Lytechinus pictus: one gene and its partners. The protein of the gene in region 1 binds, or shares a complex with, the protein of each later gene. Links are inferred from orthologs where the notes say so. Each region holds a gene or a part of one and is shown in the gene's direction. Other genes may lie near its edges.

Region 1 (7,755 bases):
AGCAATGATAATACACTGTCCCATATGTGCTTATCTTCGTAGGCAATATCTAATTATGATCATTTTTCAGCGTAAATTTCATGTTTCATAAGAACAAGTAAATTATGTACCAGATCCAGATGTACAATGATATGGTCACATTTCACCTTGATTTTAAAGACTTTCCCAAGATATCATCGTTTGCTGCAACTACATTAATTTAGATTTCAGTTAATTGGGTTAAAATGTTCTATGAAGTTTAACCCACAATATTCACACACACACACACACATGATGAAAATCTCACCTAACTCATCATCTGCTTTATCTTCTTCTTCCTCCTCTTTATCATCACAAACTCCATCTTCTCCTTCTTCATCATCTTCATCCATATTGAATGACAGCGTTCCAGCATTCTTCAGTTTCTTCTTCCTCTTTCGTTCCTTTGCTCTGTACAAACACATGAAACAATGGATACAGAACATGCCTGTCATTAATGTTCGGCTTATTGGTATTCATTCTAGAAATACAATTTCCTCTTCCTGGAAATTCTCCGAGAACATTATCGAGGGTCAAATGAGACAGTCTATATTTCAGTTATTCTCAGTGTATATAGAAATATTTGAAGCAATCTCATTTAAAACATCCCTGTCTTTCAATTCAATTCTATTGAATGGTCAGTAATAAGGGATGGGTTGGAAGGGGGGAGGGGGATCAATGAATCAGCTATTCAAGTGAAAGAGATGTTGCATGCATGATACTAGTCAATGTAGTAGACTGATTTGTATTGCAAAATGTACTTGAATTAAAAAATTACTCTACATTTTGACTCTGTGCACTTTAGGATGATTTCTTGGTAAAGGAAATGTCAAATTTTTTCAAGTATCATTTTTCGGTTTTGTCTCAGCCCTGGGGGGTATTTCATTAAATAAATAGTGATTTTCACTGGCAACTGTTATAAGCTTCTGAAATCCTTGCATCTGATTGGCTCGGAACAAATAAGTTGGTGAAAATCACTAACAAGATGCTCCATGAAACACTCCCTTAATTTTGCCATACGTTTTTGTTTTAACAACTTTTTACTTATTAAACGCATTCTATGAGTTATTTCTGTGATGTGAAGCAATGGAAAAAGGAAGAAGTTTACATTTTTTTAATGACGATATAGGGCACACAAAGTTTAAGAAAATAAAACTGTACAATTTGGATCTCACACGGTTATGCCAACGTTTCACCAAATAGATTACGGTGGAGATTGGAGTGTATGAATTGACTTACAGAGCTTTAGATGATTGTGCAAGTTCCTTTTCTCTCTCCTTCACCAAGTCCTCTCTCTTTGCTCTCATCTGATCGAAGGTGACCAGACCTAAAAAGAAAGAAAGAAAAAGAGGAGTTGTGACAAACAAACAAATCTCTAAATGCAAAGTACAAACTGATTTAAAGGCCAAGCCCAAATACAAAAATATGCTGACTTGAAAAGAGAAAAATCAACCAAGCATGAACCTGAAAATGTCTTCAAATATTCAATGTTCAATAGGAAAGTTTGACATTTTACTTTTGTTTGAATTCACAAAACATTTATATACACATCCTGGTGAGAATGCAATTGAGGAAGCTGAAGACATCACCCCACTTTACTTGTGTATTTCATTATATGATACGTGAAATATCTTCATTTTTTTGGTTTATTATAATGTGAAAAAAAGTTTGATACTTCCCTAAAATGTTAGGTCGCCATTGTTGTGATCTATTGTGAGTCGATGAAGTCCTTTCTCAATGTTAAATTCACAATTCAAAGAAACAATCTGCACCATTGGAAAAGCTTTGACATTGCAGTCAATGGGGATTTTTAGGGCTTAAAAAAAAAAAAAAAATTTGTGGGCTCTTTGGAGCATTTCAAAATGGATACCACACAAAGCCCCATGTACCCCCCCCCTCTTTGATTCAATAATGCAGATGATGAAATACTGTACCAATGGTGCTGCTCTTGAGTTGCTGTTCCACTGCATCATAATGAGCCGAAAATTTTGCGCTGATGGTAGACACTCGACTGACACTGTCCTGATAACAAAAGGAAACAAAATCATAGAAAAAACAAACTTTCAGGAATGCTTTTTTTCAAGAGCAAACAGTATCATTATGTCATGGACCATCATTAGATAAAAGTTATGAATTATAGGATATTATTGGCCATGTGTCTCATGAGGTCGCCTACTTTCGTGTTACATGGTGATTTTCACTAAGTATACACCCTATGATAGTAAAACTATATATTTTCTGAAAGGAAATCGCTCAATGAACCCAAATATTCACTCAGAAACAGCAATATGTGTAAGGCATTAGTGTTATATTATGTTGAATGGAAAATTTTTAATATTTTTCAATCTCATATTTGTGATTATAATAAAATACATGGTCCCCCGATGACCAAAATAATGACATTTCTGTACAGTACAGACCTTTTTAACAATGTGTAATTTTATTGGGTTTATGGTTATGAAATTACTTCAAAATCAACGAGAACTTATGCAATCTTTTTCCCTAAAAATAATAAATGTATATTGTGCATGCTATTTCTGCCTGCATTGCAATTACATTGTGGTTAAATCTACTTGTTCATCTGATTTATTAAAGGTATAAAACAATTTAAAAGAAATTCTGATAATGATATCATTAGACCAAATAATACTCCTAAGATTCTTCACATATTGTAAGTCTGAACAAAGCCAAGTATTCACTTATTACTTTCATCCTACAGAATAGTCACTTGTTTTCTGTATCTTACAAAAGGTACATTGAAATTAAGAATTACTTAATATAACTAAGAATAACTAATAAATGAAGAAAATGTTTCAATATGGAAGGATTGTTGTGAAACTTGAAGAATTTCAACAATTTTCTATTTCTTTTTCAATGTTTTTTGGTATTTGAATGATAATGACATTGCCAAAACTATTTTTCAATCAATTAACAGTAAAGAAGATTGTTGTAGTTTCAATATGATACCAAATTTTTAGTTGGAAGTCAAGTTTTCACAAAAATATTAACGTTCTACCCAAAATAGCACAAAGTATTGAGAATCAATCCCCATTGACTTCCTACAGGTGGCATCGCTGCCCGCACCATCCCCGGTGCTCCGTCTTTAAAGATGTGTTCTACTTATCCTAGAGCAATGAAACTTTCTAAATCATTAGCCAATGAATTCAGCTTGAAAATGATACCAAACTTGTTGGCATAGCTTCTTTGATTTTGAAAATACTTAGGAATAACTCAACACAAATTAACCAAAATATGTAACACCACCCATTTTTGGTCGGCGACCTCATGACACATGGCCTATTTTTTCTCTACCCCTCCAAGGCTCCATCCACCATCTTCACACTCACAGCAACTGTTTATTTTTCCTGTACTATGATGAGGCTTATTTCCACTGTGTTTGCTTATTCTCATTTTCATGCTGGCTTTCCACTCAAACGCAGAGAAAATTAATAAGAAAAATACAATACAAATTATCAATTTGATTACATATGTACAAACAAATGAGACGCGTCTTGGACAGTTATCTCTCGTAAGCTAGCAAATATTCTCCAAGTTGATAACGCCATCCATCCGCACCTCCACAGAGTATACTTTACAATCCAATGTCATAATCGATTATGTTTATGAGAGCATGGATCCACAAAAGCAGCACTCCAGCAGCTAGCACTGTAGCAGGCGCAGCTCAGCCTCAGGCAGCACTAAGTAAGCAGCTAGCGGTAACTTAGACAGCTGGCAGCCGTCTGTTTCGAGGAGTTTTTTAACATTTTTTTTTTTTTAATTTCTCCTCATACACAGACGGCTCGCTAGCGTGCAGCCACCATTAGGGGACTTGCAATGCAAAATCCCCCCGTCGGGGCTCTTCAATTTTTGTCTTTAATGAGTAAAAATTTTGAAAATTCACGCGACCAAAATGCAAATTAATATTCCCTCTTGAGTCTTGGCATCAATTGCCAAAAAACCGAGAAAAATCAAGTTAAAAGGAACAAAAACAGTGACTTACCTCGGCTGTCGCGCAAATTCACTTCCCCGTTTTATCCGATCTTAAGTACATAAACATATGGCCATTGAGTCCCCTGTACAGATCGCGCTAGAACTTCGGTCTCTGTATTTGGTGAGTGAAGCCAACGGAGTTCAGCTGAACAACCAACATAACAGAGACCGAAGCTTTTGGTCTAGCGGTAACTCAGCTTAGCACACGCCGAGACTCCCCGCGCCTCTCAGCAGCAAACGGCTGACTCACAAAGTTCTCGGTGCACTGCACCATTGATTGGCAGTCGTCTACTCCCCGAATAATGTCAGTTAATTCACCAATATTACCGAAAAAAATATTTTTCAGATCTTACCTGCTCTATGCGTTGTTTTAAACGTTCTAGCTCTTCTCTCTGTTTCTCCCGTTTCATCAAAAGTTGACGAACTCTTCCAGCCTCGCTGGCTGCTCCCTTGTACTCGGCCATTTTTTCCAGCTTAGGACGATACCACTATTTTGGAGGCCGAGGCTCCATTGAAAAGTTCACATCGTTAAAAGTGTGATAAACTTATAGAATGTATCAATATAAATTGCATTCAATATCGAGACAATATTAATTTATTATATTATTCAATCATTCTTTTTTCATCCATAATGAGTCAAAATGCTAAATATCTCCATCAGCAACCACAAAGATATTCCCATCAATTAAGACCGCCCCTTACCATAAGTCTAATCTCCCACTTACATAATACGTTCTTTGCTGGCATATTTCAGGGAAAGTCCCCAAGTAAAAATCTTAAAACTTGTGGAGAATTATTGAATGCAGTCATGTTTTGCCGCAATTTTCGCAATGTTCAAAATATTCATTCTCACTTAATATCAAGGTCTGTTAATGGGACCGAACTCATACCAAACAGATCTGTGAATTGCTTTCATAAATGGACAGATCCTGCCACAGGAACAATTCACATTGGAAGACACACTGCCGGCACTTCACATCAAAACTCTTCCCCGGCAGCACGGGGGGTTGCCACATCGGCCTCCCGCTTCCAAGATTCTGTGAGTCCGAGCTCTGCAGCGGCGTCAAGCGTCTCTCGAGTCACAGCTTCTCCAGTCGGATTCGCCAAAAATCTTTGTCTTGGCAAATTTAACAAGGTACCGTATCATATGTTTACCCCCAAAATATGTACCGTCATGACCGTACTCCCGGAGTCCTATTTTAATTTTTAGTTTTAAACATATAATCTAGATCTAATTTAGACTGTGACTGTAGCTATAAACATGTTAAACCAGCAAAATTTACTCTACGACTATGTTTAGCAACAGCTAAAATCAACCTTTTTACTGGAGGAGTTTTTATTTTTTGAATTTTCTAAAACTTTTTTAAATTTCTCCTCCAGTGGAACAAGACGTAGTCCAGTGCAGTGGTCATTTGTTTAGCGTTTTTGATTTAGAATAAAAATCTATACCCAAGACTAAGACTAAGTTATATCTCGGTCACATTTGCTCTATGCCTGGCGGCCGTACGGCGAGTTGAAAACAGCCGTTTTAACATTTTGTAACAGCTACATATGAATAAAGACGGATAAAACGGCTATTTTTGACTCGCCGTCAAGCAAATGTAGCCGAGGTAGCAGACATATCACGAACCAATCTTGTCCAATTTTTCTGCGCAACCTGATTTTTACATTAAAATTTCAAACTCATCTTGCTCATTAATGCGTGAAGTGTTTGTCTCGTATTAGGTATCAAAATAAACAGGAATATTTAATTATATGATCCTGTATAAAGTGAAATATCATAATTCTTTTGCCTTTGAAGAATAAAGACATGGGAATCCTGGTTTCCTTTTTTGTGGGATGCACTTTATTAATTACTACAAACCAAGCAGGTCTTTGCGTTCATCCACTTCTGGCTTCCTTGTTATTCCAAAAGTTTCAAAAACCTGGGGGGAAAGATCATTTGCTTTTGCATGCCCCCTTTGTGGAACAGCCTTCCTGAAGACATTAAAAAATGTACCTCTGTCGAAACTTTCAAAAATCTAAAAACTTTTTTATTTAACTCTTAGCTCTTTATGCGCCTTGAGCACTCTACAGAGTGGAGTTGGCACTTTATAATTCACATTATTATCATTTTACATTATTATTAAATTATCCTGTCGTATGATTAACTTTGCGTTTCATTACATATTACTTTTAGGATGATGCATTCCCTTTCCCTGAAATCACAGTGGAGCAGTTTGAACATCTCAACCAAATGTGTGATCCTATTGAGAAATATTTCAATGAAGAAGGTAGGATAGTTATTTTAAAATGTTTCATACCCATGTATATGTTCTATCTTTTGTATAGAGAGCTTACATGTAGTTTAATATTTTGAATAAAATGCTTATAATGATATGTATCATATGTATATGTTAATGGGTTTTTAACTGGTCCTATGGGACCTTAACCCTGTCACACCATACTTTGTTCTGTTCATTTACTTCACTATAATAATGAGGTGTCTAGGGACCATAATCTAGTCAACCAGTGTAAATTCAAGGTTACTGAAAATGTTTTAATATCATTTTCTTACTTAAAAATGTTAGAAAGTAAAACCAGATGAAGATTTCCTTTTTTGAATCAGTATAAAGAAGTATAGAATTATTTCATACATTCATCTTTGCCACATTTCTTTTATTTGTCAAAATAAGCAAGGTGGTTGCTATTCTTTGAGATACCAAGGATAGCAGTGAAGACAAAAATCATAGGGAAATCACATTTGTATCCTGTCATTTAAAAGAAATAGCAACATTGTCCACTGTCAGATTTGAAAGCTCGCTTACATTTCTTGATTGAGGGGATACAAGAAAAAATAAAATATAATGGAAATATGTCCTTATTTAAAGAGATTTTAATGTTTTGATATAATTTGTTCATGTTGCTACCTCAAGCATGCTTCCAGCCACATGTATTATTTAGGGCTGTGAAGGTCACCTGACTATATAAGTAATACAAGAATGAAGACCTTGATGCACACATTCACAAAGAATATTGGAAAGTCTGATACAGCTAGTACAAATTTCAGTCTTAAATAATTTTCAAAGCTCATATTGAAAATAACTCTTAGGCCTATCTTTTATGCTGAACCCAGTTAGAGAGTCTGAATTTTCTTTTTTTTACCTTCTACAGTGGACTCCAAAACAATTGATGTAAATGCCAAAATCGATGAGAAAACATTGCAAGGTTTAAAAGATCTTGGTCTCTTTGGTCAACAGGTTCCTGAAGATTATGGTAATAAGAATTTTGTGTGTGTATTTTTTTTTACTTTGTATATGCATAGGATAAGTATTTCAGAGATCACTTTGTTGCTTGAATAAATTGAAGCTCTTTTTTTTTAATGAATTGTGTAATATTCAAAGAGTTGTACTTGAGGAATTATTGCTATTTTTGCATGTTACCTGTAATATATCAAAGTTCTATTCTGGTAGTTGGCAAAATAAATATTGTATGTAGGCTACATATATTCTACAAAGGTGAAGAATTATGTGTGTTTGTGAGTAGGTTGTATTAAAAAAATAATATGATATTCCTCCCTACTTCCCCTCTTCTTTCTCTGCCTATTCTTCAATGTTTGATATCTTTCTTTCTATCTTATATACATATTTCTGTGGTTAATAATTATTATTTTCAAATTCACATTGCTTTTGTTATCATAATTTTCCTGAGTAAGTTATATCTGAAAATTCCATTTTCTTTGTGATATTTTTTTTTGTTCCCTTTTTT
Region 2 (7,172 bases), on another chromosome or scaffold:
CGTATACAAGGGCCTTTGGCAGCCATTTTGAATATCAGGAAAATAAATATTTTGTCAAAAATTATTTTTTCAGAGTATTTAATTCCTGCCACACAATGTCATGCATTTCATAGCCAATGTGCGGACAATTTTATGATTTTCATGGGTAATTTGCATATTTTGGCGGCCATATTGGATTTTGCCAATTTGCGGAAAATGCTCAAGGTTACACGAGTGGCATCATCCAGATTCGTAATCAGCACCCTCGAATTGACAAGAAACCATCAAAAAATATTGTATATATAAAATAACAAGGTTATGCCTCTTCTATCCTGGACTAATTCTGATTATGATGAAGAGAGTGGGAATCGTCACCTTTCTTACCTCTTGCTGTGATATTTAATTATACTCTATTCGACTATTCCTTTACTCTCTGATTGAAATGCTGTTTCTTTCTCATTATATTTTGTTTAATGTGATAAACCATTCCGATTTTGCAGCTAAAGTGGTTGGGAGTTCTGTTAACAATATAAAGTTAAAGGACCATTGACTTTTCAATTTCACCTCGGTAGGCAAGGTCTAAATTTGCATGATAATTGATCTCCTATTCGATAATAGTGACACTATTATATGATAGTCATGTAAAGCTTATAACTATTCCTTGTCCTACGATCTTCCTGTAAATAAAGCAGTTAAATAATGAATAAACATACTTGATTGAATTCTGTTTGTCTTTTGTATAAACTGTAGCTATTATGACCTATGCATTTTTTTTAAAGAATACCACACATCATTTCCATAAATTTACATCAGAGGGATGTTGCTTTTCAGGCCACGATCCAGGCATGTGTTCATGTTATATTTTACACAAAAAAAGTACCGGTAACAATAAAAGACCACTAAGAAGCAGAACTGAACTTATTTCTGTTTCCTATGATTAATTATTCACATTCCTGATATCTGAACCTTGTCCCCTTCCCCCTCCCTTGTCTTTACAAGCCTGAAATTTTGAGAGAAAGAAGAGAAATAGAGAGAAGGGGATAAGGATGGGGGGAGGAGAGAGTCAGAGAAAATTGGGAGGGAGGAGGAATGGAGAACTGGTATGGAGATTAGAGAGAGAGAGGTGAGAAATGGAGCATGTAGTAAGAATTGAAATGGAAGGTGATGAAAAGGAATGTAAAAAATAATTTTTCAATAAATATCCCCTCATCTCCCTTTAGTTTTTACCTCCTGTATACCGGTATATCTGGGCTATTACAAAAAGTATGTATGTCCGACCCCATGTTTGTGGGACCTTCATGACATTTTCTGTCTCTGATTTCTGGTTCTTTTAATAGTCTTTAATGCTCTCAAACAATCATGACCTGGTCAGTTCATGAAGTAAAGTAAAACTTAAAAATGGGGGTCGGATGTACAAAAAGGTTGATTATTTTACGGAATTGCCCATCTATATCTTCACTTTTTGGAGTGGGATGGTATATATGAAGAGATATATACAGGTGATGAAATGTGCACTCGGAAGGCTACTTCAAATTTCGCAAAGAAAAAATGCCGTTGTGAGCATCTGCCCGAAAAAAACAATTTTTATGCAAGTGCATCAATATGACTGCCAAATGCAACAGAAGTATCTCAAATCTAAATCAGTTTATGGTGATCTTGGGAAGGGTGATTTATTTTCTCAATGGGGAAGCAAGGATAAAAATGAAAGATGAGAAATATAAGATCATTCCCTTGGTAATGGTGTGTGTATATGAATCCTTTGGTCACAAAACTTAGTCATCTATTACTTATTTCATATATATACTACAAGGAGAGCCATTACTTTAGGTTGTCCAGGTTTACACATGAGGAAGTGCATTAAAGGGGAAATTCACCTTAAAGAAAAAATTATTGTAAAAATACCAGAAAAACATTGAAATATTGGTAAAGGTTTATGGAAAATCCATCAAAGATAAAGGAAGTTGTTAAAATTTCAAGTTTTTTTTATTTGTGACTTCATATACCAGTAGCTGCTCCTTAATGTATAAAATGCATTTTTTTTTCATTATGACTAGATATTTTTTTCTTTCAAGCATCGCAGTGACATAATTTGTCTGTTGACATACTGAAGGTACAATAAAAATCATTTTCATTTTTGTTGTTGAAAAAGGGACATTTTATTGATTTTTTTACTACATGATACCGGTATATGGTTAAGCTGCTCGCATATATTGTGTACCATTATATTTGCTCTGGGGACAATTGCTCTGCTGTGAATTCCACAAAATTATGGAATGGCCATCTTCGACCCTGGATTTAATACCCTATCCTCTAATCCTAAACCTAACATAAAGCCCTATACCCTAACCCTATATCTTACAGGAAATAAAGCCCGGAGCAATTGTCACCAGAGCAAATGCTGTGTCGCCGCTCGCATATGACGTCACAAATAAAAAAATAAGACTTCTAATAACTTTTAAAGGAAACCAAAACCCAAGAAGAGAAGCAATCTTATTGGAAAGAGTAAAATGGGAGGAACAATTTAAAACAAGTTTCCATCAAAATGGGTTATAGAATAAGGGTATTATGGAAGTTTGAAAAGTCTTGTACTTTCTATGGGGATCCTCAAATTGACAAACATGCTTCAATCTGATTTTGTGGACAACCCTCCATTTGTCTTGTACACTTGATATTCCCCTTTTTTTTTTACAGATTTCACATCTCCTCCTGACCTTGACATACGGTATGTGGTGTGAATTATATTTTCCAATGACATATTTTATGCTCAGAATGAGGCAATATGCAATTTTAAAGATAATGGGGAAAATCTGTAAAATTGTGTACAAATCAGCCATTTTGAAGCATGGACAATTTGAGGATCCCCATAGAAAGTACAAGACTTTTTAAACATCCATAACTTGCTTATTTCACCACCGATTTTGATGAAACTTGTTTTAAATTGTTCCTCTCATTTTACTCTTTCCAATAAAATTGCTTCTCATCTTGGATTTTGGTTTCCTTTAATACTTTGATGGATTTTTCTCAAACCTTCACCACTGTTTTTTTTTTTTTTCTTCACAATAAACATTTTTTCAGGGTGAACTTCCCCTTCAACATATTATAATGGTGATGGCAATGATATTGATGATGATATGATTCAATTCAAGAAAGATAAAAGCATTAATACAAGTTAAAAAATATAACAACACAATGGGAGGTAGCAACTCTGTAAGCAGTGCTTGTGATGATCGAGTGCACCATAAAGACATATAATTCATAAAAAAAACTTATCCACACAAAGTACATTATAAATAACAAGTGAAAAAAATCAGGGCAACTCTCTATATATATATTATATCAAATGAAACAGTAAATAAGTCGTCACACCAATCAACCCACAACTGTAACTACTATATAAGCAAATCCCGTAAGCAAATCTCTCAATTTAGGGATGATGATGATATGGGATGGTGATGATGGTGATGGTGCATGGTGATTGTATTTGATGGTGGTGATGATGATAATGAGGTGATGATGATGATAATGATGCTGGTGGTGGTGGTGGTGATGATATTGATGGTGATGATGATGATGATAAGGTGATCGATGATGAGGTGATGATAATGGTGATGATATTGATGATGATGAGGTGATGGTGATTATATTGATAATGATGTGGATGGTGGTGGTATTCATGATAATGGTGATGATGATGGAGTGTATGAGTGGATGCAAGGCCATAGCTATAGGTTAAGTAACCCATCATCTAAATTTAAATTTGCATTTGAGCCCTAATTTCCTAAAATGCACGTAAAAATGCAATTTCTTATAAATTTTGTCAATGATTCATTAATACCCTATGAAAGAGGTCAGCAAATCAGAAATGAAGTTGAAAGTACTGTGTTGAAAAATCAACCACTTCCAGAAAAAAAACTATCTAAAAATCGCCACGGTCATGACGGTGGATGATTTTTTTTGGGGGGTGCCTGCATGGCAATTCTCTATTTCATTTTAAAATATACACCATATATCCCAAAATAAAATTGCCCCACAATTTTTTTTCACTTGGCATCCCATCATGGGATCATGATTCCTTAAAATTTTAGAAACTGAGCTTTGCATGCATGCAGCAGCAGTATTGGAATTGTTCGCGAATAATTACGCATGCTCCCTCCGATCCGGATCCGATCGAAGTAAGGAGACGATCGACAATCACCAGAGCGAGCTAGGCCACAGCAATGAATTAGCAAAGCCAAATAGGGTAAATATTTCTACTTATTGAGATTTATTTGTGTAAAAACTATATGTCTTATCATGCTGCAATATGAGATCCTCATACATGTGGTCAACAAAGTCAGACCAGACTTTCCCTTCCACTGTTTTCATCGTTTACGGTAGGCTATTGCGTTTCAGGCCGGGCTTAACTTTGGGTGCGCGGTTCGGTCCCATCAATATGGTTTTTGGTGTTTGGGGGCACAAGTTTGGGCGCTCATGCAGTTTCGCACCAGCCGTCTCCCAGAGAATATCCTGGGATTTTCTCCACCAGTAATTGTTCACAAATGTCATAACAAGTCTCAATTGAATTTCAAGGTCATTATGCCCAAAGCTTTTTCCAAATATTGTGATCGGAATGGCTGTAGACGTAGAGTCTAGGCCCCCTAAACTTCTAAAGCCTTTACTTTAGTAAAGGCCCTATTTCCATTTTCACTTTCAAAACTTTCGAACTAGGCCTAAATTAAAGTAAAGCCTAGTAAAAAAGGCTAGGGCCTAAGCCTAAAGCTAAGTTTCAGCTGACCAGTACTAGTAGAGGTGCACGGCCAATTCATATGGGAGACAATCTCCCATATTGGAGACTTGCTTTGCAAAAGAAACAACACCAACAAAATGAAAAGCATGATTTTTTCCATCCAAAATTTTGTCTCGCCATGCTCACTGCGGTCAGCTAGAAGTAGAAGAATAGAACTTAGAAGCCCATTTGTGTGTGGATGTTATAAAATAGGTGTATTATTTCAAGCATCGCGATTGGCCAATACGCGTCACATGACACCCAACTTTTTTTGTGCACTGCACGGCAGTGCAAAAGGTGCGCAACGAAAATTGACATTGCACGCTCAAGCAAACCAGTGCGGTAGAAGTCCAACTGTAACTTTTCAAGAATTTGTTTCTGTGTTGCTATTTTATAAAACAAATAATGCACTTGCTCTGTCGTGCGTAAAAGTAAATGCAGAGAAAGCTCGGTTTCTTCAGATGGTGCACGCTGGGCACTCGCCGCCAGCGGCTCGTGCACAGTGCGGCACCTATCTAAAGAAACCTCGCGTGCTCTGCATTTCCACTAACGCACTCGACTGCATGCATTATTTGTAATTGTATAACATGAAATTGACAACAAAAATAAAACAAAAGTAGACGGTGGATTTTTAAAGTAGACTGCAAAGCCAAAGGGGTGATTTTTCATGAGGAATCTGTTTATCACATTTTTATTTGCTGCCAGGTTAATCCCTTTGCAGCAAATGTAAACGAAGGAAATTGGTCCCAAACTGGAGACTGAGTGTCTCTGAATTATTGGATACCCAAAATTCTTTACAAAAGTCTCTGATATTGGAGATAATCTCTCTCTTGGGAGACACTCTCTCATATTGGCCGTGCGCACGTCAACTTAAGTTTAAAATCGTGTTTAACGTTAGTGAGGTGATTACTATTACCGACCGGCCTTGTACTTGTAGTTGTATTACTGAACGCGTACATGATCGTACACATCAGAAAATAATTTCATAATGCTCAAAACTTTAGAACATCCAAAGGCAAAGCCGGCTTTCCTCTTGTTCATTCACTAAGGTCTAGATAACCCAATGAGCTCCAGGACTCGTCCGTGTAATACTAGGCAGACAGGGATACTCTTCAAAATGGGGTAGAATGGGATCACAATCAATAGCACTCCAAATAAAAGGGGGAAAAGAAAATTATGCACTTAGCCACTTACCTCATACATGGATGAAGGTCTATCGTGACACAGAATCCTGACATTGAGGCACGAACTGGACCCTCAAAAAAAGGAAAAGTTAGACCTCCATGTCGCGTTCGTTCTCGGTATCGATAGGCCATTTTGTTTTCAATTTTGAAAGAAGGAGAACGAACGAGGTAGAACTTATCCTTTTTTTGAGAGTCCAGTTTGTGCCTCGATGTCAGGATTTTGTGTCACGATAGACCTTCATCCATATAATCGAGGTAAGTGCATAATTTATTTTTTCTCCTTTTATTTGGGGTGCTATCACGACCCCATTCTACCCCATTTTGGTGAGTACCCACTGCCTAATATTACACGGACGAGTCCTGTGCTCCGGCCCTGTGCTCAAAATCTGTAATGGCAAAAATGTGAGAATTGTGTTGTGATGTGAGACTGGTTGAGGTAGTTATGTTGAGCAGAGTAGGAAATAGTTTTTATTTTTAGGGGCTATCTTTTGAGGGCTATTTCTTATATTTTAAGGGAGCTACATTTTTGGGGGCAACAAACAGCTAGACCGGCACTACTAGTATGCAATAATAAAAGCAAATATTGTTCTGCTATAGAATATTGATTTTCAAGCTTTTTATTAACTCGGCGTGGACCAGGAGCCACATTTGAAGGCAAGTGGCTCCTGGTCCCTTTTATTTTTTGGATGACCAGGTGCCACGTTGGTGGAACCAGGAGCCATTTTTTAAATGAAATTTCAGTCAGTTCGGACATTTTTAAACTGTCAACTACGCATCAAAACTGCAATAACTGTATTAAGATAAAGGAGAAGAAGAGAAAGAGAATGTTTTATTTTTTTTTTTCAAATTCAAAGATGACTACTAGAGTACCTTGTAATTGTATTTTAATTTTGTCTATCATGTATGAGGCGCCGAATGTACCATTATTATATAGAACAATTATTTGTTATATAATCATTATTTATTAAATAATAACTATTATTTATATATAATTTACATTTTATTTGTAAATAACTACTATTATATAAAATATCATTTCTAATTATTTATATATAATTCCAAGTAATACTTCATTATTTGTAAATAATAATAGTTCGACATTCCATTATTTATAAATAATGATTATTTGTTTTTCATTATTTATAAATAATGATTATTTGTTTTTCATTATTTATAAATAATGATTATTTGTTTTTCATTATTTATAAATAATGATTATTTGTTTTTCATTATTTATAAATAAT
Region 3 (7,039 bases), on another chromosome or scaffold:
TCCTTGGAAAGACACCTCCAGACATGTCCTACGTAGGCATGATCTTCTTTGCACACCGCCCGCCACCGTCAGCATTGAGAGAATATGCGTTTATGGCAAGCCACACTGACATATCACCTTTAAACATTTTTTTTTTGGGGGGGGTCATTCGAGTGCACTCTGATGCATTTTATCTGGGATGGCGCCAAGTTATTTTTTATATGGGGGGGATAATTTCAGGGGCCCGTCTTACAAAGACTTGCGATTGATCCGATCAATCACAACTATGGAAAGCCAGCAAAGTCAACATATAAAATGCATGTTTGCTCAAATTTTTTTTATAGATGAATGTATATCCATAAATTCATTGAATTCTAGATAATTCGATGTGTTCTTTGTTTACAAAGGACATTTTGCAAATTTCCTGTAGAAAAAATTATGACACTGATGGATTTTCATAGAGTTAAGATTGATTGAAACAATTGTAACTCTTTGTAAGACGGGGCCCAGATCATCTTGCATGGCAAGACGACCCAAAACGGGTGTCACTTTAACTTCTCCGGGGTCAATCTAGGCCCAAATAATTTTTTTTAGTATGTTTTCTTTTATTCTCCCTCCTGTCTTTTCCCCACCCCCTTTCCAGTTTTTTTTTTAAATTAAACTTGAAGTTGAAATATCGAAATGAGCGGCAGCCTCTCATTAGATAAACAACATGAAAACTATTTTTTTTTTAAAGAGATCATTATGAATGGTAAAAAACGTGTTTATAACGTTCAACGAAAAAAAGACAGCACGATACAAAACTAAGATGTTACTAAACATGCTTAATCATTTATTTATTTTTATTTCATTTTCATAATGACAATCACTAGCGTACCTACGGGGGGGGGGGGGGGCAGAGGGGGCACTCTGCCCCCTGACGAGCAACCATGACCCATACAAAAGACATATACCTGCCCCCCCTGACGAGCTTAAAAGACCTTTTTTGCCCCCTCCCCTGACGAACTTGAAGACCTTTAATGCCCCCCCTGAAGAGCCTGAAGACCTTTTTTTTTTTTTTTTTTTTTTTTTTGCTTGTCAAATTTTTTGGCGGCCGATTTTGCCCCCCCTGTGGAAAATCCTAGGTACGCCACTGATGACAATTATTATTATTTTTTGCCGAGATTAATTTTAATTAATGAAAATTAATTGATGGATTTGTGCTAACTTGAGATGATGAATGAAACAAAAAAAATCTGCAGTGACTTAACAAAATAGCTAATTGAATTTAATATATAGATTAGGCCTAATAGCTTACGAATCCATCACAATCATTATAAATGAGGATAAGTTTGTTGTATCAATAAAAGAAAAGATTATGAAAAGTCCATACGAAGAGGCGCATTTTAAATCGTAGGGTAGGACCTATCGGCCCCTATGTCATGTTAAAGCAATAATGTAGTCTCGACTCCTTAACTTTGAAATGTTGAACATAATATTCTTAAAGCTTATATTCTTATATAAACTTCCATAAAGTTAATACTAAATAGGTTCATTATTGCGGACTGAAATAATCGCTAGAGGGTATTCATTTGTCTCGCAATCTACTATGGTCAACAAGGAAATTTGTGATCATAAAGTTATCAACTTTAAATATGACCAACGTTTATGATAGTTGTCATTTTTAGCATTGTTTCTGAAAATTGTATTTTTTCCATTGCGGATTGATTTCACACATTTTTCTATGTTTTATTATTGCAAAGCACTACTTTACCCACTTGGACATGTTTGCAGCAATTTTCATATTTTGCTTGTCTTCGATTACTCATCATGCAAAGGTATTTCTTGCGTGATATCTGACAAATAAGATAAATAAGATTTTTCACAAGCAGCCTCTCATATTTTCCTTTTTAGTCTCAAACAATCAGACACATTGATTTTGTTTACTCCATTCAAACCCTATTTTTACCTCAACAAATAACATTTAACGCATAATTTGCAAAATCATCATTATAAATAAGTATTCTATAAAAAAATCAGAATATTGAATTAATACAATGTCAAAATTGCTTAGTTAATTCAATTTTTATGTTGGTCAAGGGTCTCTTTCGTTGAAATATCAATGAAAGGTGTCTCTAAAAGGACACCGTGTTCTAAATAAGAGAAATATAAATGAAAATTTTGCAATTTTATCCAGTTTGTTTGTGAATCTTTAAAGTTTTTTCTCCTTTTACCTCATAAAGTAAGCTCCATACATCAATTCTACAATCAGTAATAATTAAAACATTATTTGATCTCCATTTATTGAAATATATGATTTTATGAAAAGTTGTCATTCCGAAATAAAAGGTTCAGGTGACGATGAAGACTAAATATTTTTCCGATACTATAATCGATATCAAACGATGTCGCGGACTTGGAAGACAAAATTACCTCCGTGAAACGGTAAGCGCTGATTTGTCGCCAATCTTCCTATCTCGGAAGAATGGTCCTAGGACGTTCCTACGGCTACGTATCGCTCATCTCGTCATGCAACAGACCCCAGTGTCTCCCTCGTTTTGCACGGTCAACTCCTGGGCTCCGGCCCACGAAGCGGGCCAGAGCTCCCTGGGTTACCGGTTAGTCATGTTCGTGCAGGCTCCACTCCCCGCTCAGGGGCCGATTGCACGAAAGGGTCTTTCCAAGGACCATCTTTCGTGTCGCCCATATTTTATGATGCGCTGTATGCGGGATTTTACTGAAATGTACTATGATAAACAAATAAAATTTGTTAGCTAGCATTTTAATCGATTTGTATACAAATTACAATTTCCTGATATATCACATCATTTTATAAACAAAGATTTTGTTTACTTTAACAGATGAATAAAATATGTTTGCAGGTAATTTATTTAAAATGTGTTTCACATGGCGCATCATAATAAATGGGCGACACGAAAGACGGTCCTTGGAAAGACCCTTTCATGCAACCCCGGGGGGGCCACTTACATTGACGAGTGGATACCATGCGCGACCAAAAAAACACGTAAAAAGGATGTCCTTTTCACGATAGGGCACGTTACGTACGTAACGTGATAAGGGTGTCAAAAACACAAAAATAATGAAAAAAGGGTGTCTATTTCGCTAGTAAAATTACGTGTTTAGGGTCGAATTTGCGGGAATGATAAAACAAAATTAAAATGTTTTATAAAGCCTTAAAGGATGTCCATTTTGCCCCAACACTTCGTGTTTAGAGTCCGATTTGCGCGAGGTGTAGAAGATGGGGTCGTACTATACCAAATAAGGTAAAGCCGACGACCGAAGGACCCGTAACAATAAAACATTCCTGTACTTGTTCAGGGGATCATATATCAAGGAATATTTGCCAAGAGTCAGGGCCAAGAGTATATCGTTTTGTTTCCAATACTTGTTAAGGGTAGGGTTTCACACGCCAATACTTATGTTAAGGGCTGCATTTTCAGAATATGGAAATTACGTGTTTAGGGTGCTTTTTCGAGACCCCATGGTCGCGCATGGTATCCACTCGTGAATGGAAGTGGCCCCCCCGGGCATGCAACAGACCCCAGCTCACTCACTGTCACACAACTTCACAAACAAAAACATGCGAGGCGAGGCTCCCCGCTAGTAATACTAGTACCGTACTAGTAGTAGTACACAGTCACTAGACTACGCCTACGCCACGGCCGGCTTCTACGCTACAGACGTACAGTACAAAGCGTAGTGTATCGGTAGTGAAGTGGAGTGGAGCCTGCACGAACACCAGTGGAGGTAATTGTGGGCAATTGTGGATAAGATTTAAGAAAATGAGATCAAATATTGGTTACATTACAACAAAAATGAAATTACAACCTGAACTGAGGCCTGAGGCTGAGCTTCAGCTTCGACTAGCTCGAGCAATGTAAATAATCATGACGTCATCTCCCCTTTAAAGCCTTGAAGACTGTGCTCTTATCTCTATACCGCGTGCCGTTAGTTAGTTCCGGTAACGTATAGCTATGAAAAGAGTCTAGTTCAGATCAGAGAAGGTATCCCAGTAAAATCAATGTATGCTCCCATGTGAACTGAAAGAGAAAGGTATTCAGCTGTTATTTATCGTCCATCCTATCCTTTTGAATTTGGTTCGTATTTATATTTCCCCCGAAAATATTTATATGCTTATACGCACTTTTTTTTGGCTTAGAATACAATTTCCTAATTTTCTTCCTATGCATGGTAGCTGCTAGTACTTTTAGTAGCTGCGAGCTATATTAGTCCCACACATATGTTTTCGTGGAGTAGAAAAACGTTCTTAAAGGTCAAGTCCACCCCAGGAAAATGCTGACTTGAATAAATAGAGAAAAATTAACCTAGCATAGTGCTGAAAATTTCATCAAAATCGGATGTAAAATAAGAAAGTTATGACATTTCAAAGTTTTGCTTATTTTTAACAAAATAGTTATATGAACGAGCCAGTTACATCCAAATGAGAGAGTCGATGATGTCACTCACTCACTATTTCTTTTGTTTTTTATTGTTTGAATTATACAATATTTCATTTTTTATAGATTTGACAATAAAGACCAACTTGACTGAACCATATAGTATTAAACAATGCTAATTCCACATGTTCAGGGAGGAATCAATCGTTGTATCACTCGACAATTAGGAAAAAATGAGAATATTTCATATTTCAAATAATAAAATACAAAAGAAATAGTGAGTGGATGACATCATCAGTCTCCTCATTTGCATACCAGCCAGGATGTGCATATAACTGTTTTGTGAAATTAAGCGAAACTTTAAAATGTCATAACTTTCTTATTTTACATCCGATTTTGATGAAATTTTCAGTGTTTTGCTTGTTGGATTTTTATCTTTTTATTCAAATCAACTTTTTGTTGGGGTGGACTTGTCCTTTAATAAATTTAATACTTTATTAAATATTACACAATCACGAAATTTACCTGTTTTTTTTGTAAGCTTCACTTCCTAGGCTGCAAGCTGTATCAGACCTTTGTCTTAGTTGGTGCATTTGCCGATGCAGCACGACAGAGGCAGAGCAGAGCTAGAGTGAGAGTATGGACTATGAATGATATATAAGTATAACTATAAATAATGAGTAGTCATGCATGACGTGGTATGGGATTATTGGGATTGTCATGAAGACCCATGATCATTCATGATGATTGTCTGTTTTTGTTTCCCTCAAACCTTATTTATTAATTTTTCATTTATATGCTTTAAGGGACTACTTTAAGTGGTGAGATTACACAACACTTGAAACCTTTTGATGATATTTTTTTTCCAATTCAATAAGTTTAACACTTAAATAAACGTTATTAGAATAATTAAGTCTACGGTACGGAAAAAACTTAAATTAAAAGGATCATACAATACGGTTCATAAATAATGTCAAATTTCAAATTTATAGGTCTAGTCTAAAGAAGGAATTAAGTAGCATGTATTGTAGTAGACATGAATAACTGTCGTTTCTGGGCATTTATTTAACAATTTCTGACACTTTACTATCGTCCCCATTCAGTATTGGTGAGTGGAGCCAACGTAGTTAAGTGGAACAACCAATTTACAGAGACTGAAGTTGTTTGTCTAGTAGTATTGTAGGGAAAGTTCCTAAAAGTGCCCCTGGCAATATTGATTTTTTTTTCCTTCAGGATATGAAAATGGACTGTGATCAAATTCCCTAGCAATTGTCCAGAAAATTAGTTATACAGTGCGTCCCAGAAAAAACGAAACCGAGATTTAGCGATGATTTATCATAACTTAATCATAAATAAAATAGACAAATGACCTACCAATTTAAAGCTTAGAATCTCCTCTTTCATCTGGTATTACTTAGACTATTCCTCATTCACGCATGATTGAGCAAAAACAATTCAAAGAAAGGATGCCAAAAACTCATTTGGCGGGGGGTATCTGAATTTCAAAAAGAAAATCACATGACTAAAAAGTTCAATATCTTCTCTTTTCTTTGATACCTAAATCACAGAAAATGGTCAAGTAGTAAAAAAGTTATGATCCCTCGAAACAATGCTTGTATTTCCATAATTTCATTAAATAAACGTGTTTTCACCGGTTTCCCACTGAAGCTATCGCACGGTAACAAAAGACTTAATGCATGGCTGATCGTCAACAAAACGGAGTGTCGAGTGAGTGTGAACTCTAGCCTGTAAAACCTCTTCATTTTATGAAATTATTGAAATTCAAGCCTTATTTCAAATAACCAGAACTTTTTTATTTCTTGACCATTTTCTGTAATTGAGGTATCAAATTAAAGAGCAGATATTGAACTTTTTAAAAATGTGGTTTTCTTTTTAAAACCCAGATACGGCCCACCAAGTGACTTTTTGGTATCCGCTTTTCAAATTGTTTTTGCTCACTCATGCGTGAATGAAAAATAATCTAAGTAATTTCAGATGAAAGAGGAGATTCTAAGCTTTAAAATGGTAGGTCATTTGTCTATTGTATTTGCGATTAAGTTATGATAAATCATCGATAAATCTCGGTTTCGTTTTTTGTGGGACGCACTGTATAAATGTCGATCCTTCGATCTGATTTTGCCTAATATGATAAATAAGGATATAAAAATTGTAACTAAAAATGTTATGTAATTAAGGGGCACCTTATTTGTAATTTGTTATTGAAATGTCCTATGGGGGATCAATTGATTAAGTTACAAAGTAGGTATAAAAACTACAAAGGGATTGAATTACAATGAATGGAATTCATTATTCATTGAGTAAAAATGAATCATGAACCAATAAGCCCATGATATGCTATAAAGGTTGCAGTCTATTTGACTTCTACACTGTACAAGTGTAACAATGAGTCAGATTGTTATTTTCCCCTTATATTAGAAGTTCAGTTCATCTCATTTAAGAAATACCGGTATGCATCTGCATCATATTTTCACACTGCATACAGCATTAAATTGACAAATGTAGTGTAAAACAGTGACTCATCTGATATTCTCCCATAGAGTCAATGCGAGTAATTGCACAATATAATACATCTCTATGGTGTTTTCCCCTCTATTCTTTGCTTTTATTTCTTTACAGATAGTGAATATATTCTAATCTCCCCA

The links. The genes of interacting proteins can lie anywhere in the genome.
Region 2: the proteins of complex I assembly factor ACAD9, mitochondrial-like (region 1) and evolutionarily conserved signaling intermediate in Toll pathway, mitochondrial-like are in contact, whole or in part, in a cryo-EM structure (PDB 8PHE), measured with the Homo sapiens proteins. The link is inferred for Lytechinus pictus from reciprocal best matches to the Homo sapiens genes ACAD9 and ECSIT. Residues at the interface, in NP_054768.2 of Homo sapiens: Leu180, Thr181, Asp188, Ala189, Ala190, Ser191, Ile192, Lys228, Lys239, Asp240, Lys241, Ile242, Phe293, Ala296, Met297, Leu300, Ile431, Met434, Tyr435, Leu438, Thr439, Leu441, Gln442, Gly445, Thr449, Leu516, Gly520, Lys521, Ile523, Met524; in NP_057665.2 of Homo sapiens: Pro321, Glu322, Glu323, Trp324, Asn325, Leu326, Tyr327, Tyr328, Pro329, Met330, Leu332, Asp333, Leu334.
Region 3: complex I assembly factor ACAD9, mitochondrial-like (region 1) and transmembrane protein 186-like share a complex: the UniProt entries of both Homo sapiens proteins name them as parts of the mitochondrial complex. The link is inferred for Lytechinus pictus from reciprocal best matches to the Homo sapiens genes ACAD9 and TMEM186.

What each region holds. Positions count from the first base shown.
Region 1 is NC_087247.1:7,772,471-7,780,225, reverse strand, and holds the start of complex I assembly factor ACAD9, mitochondrial-like, read left to right. Parts: upstream 1-4,728; 5' UTR 4,729-4,816; coding exon 4,817-5,143; intron 5,144-6,187; coding exon 6,188-6,281; intron 6,282-7,161; coding exon 7,162-7,263; intron 7,264-7,755. Other genes in the region: protein FAM50A-like, read right to left, coding at 287-429, 1,258-1,345, 1,953-2,040, 4,362-4,472. UniProt on the Homo sapiens protein: As part of the MCIA complex, primarily participates in the assembly of the mitochondrial complex I and therefore plays a role in oxidative phosphorylation.
Region 2 is NC_087254.1:24,882,683-24,889,854, reverse strand, and holds the start of evolutionarily conserved signaling intermediate in Toll pathway, mitochondrial-like, read left to right. Parts: upstream 1-4,094; 5' UTR 4,095-4,219; intron 4,220-7,172.
Region 3 is NC_087249.1:2,092,526-2,099,564, reverse strand, and holds the start of transmembrane protein 186-like, read left to right. Parts: upstream 1-3,961; 5' UTR 3,962-4,032; exon of another isoform or gene 4,033-4,076; intron 4,077-7,039. UniProt on the Homo sapiens protein: As part of the MCIA complex, required for efficient assembly of the mitochondrial complex I.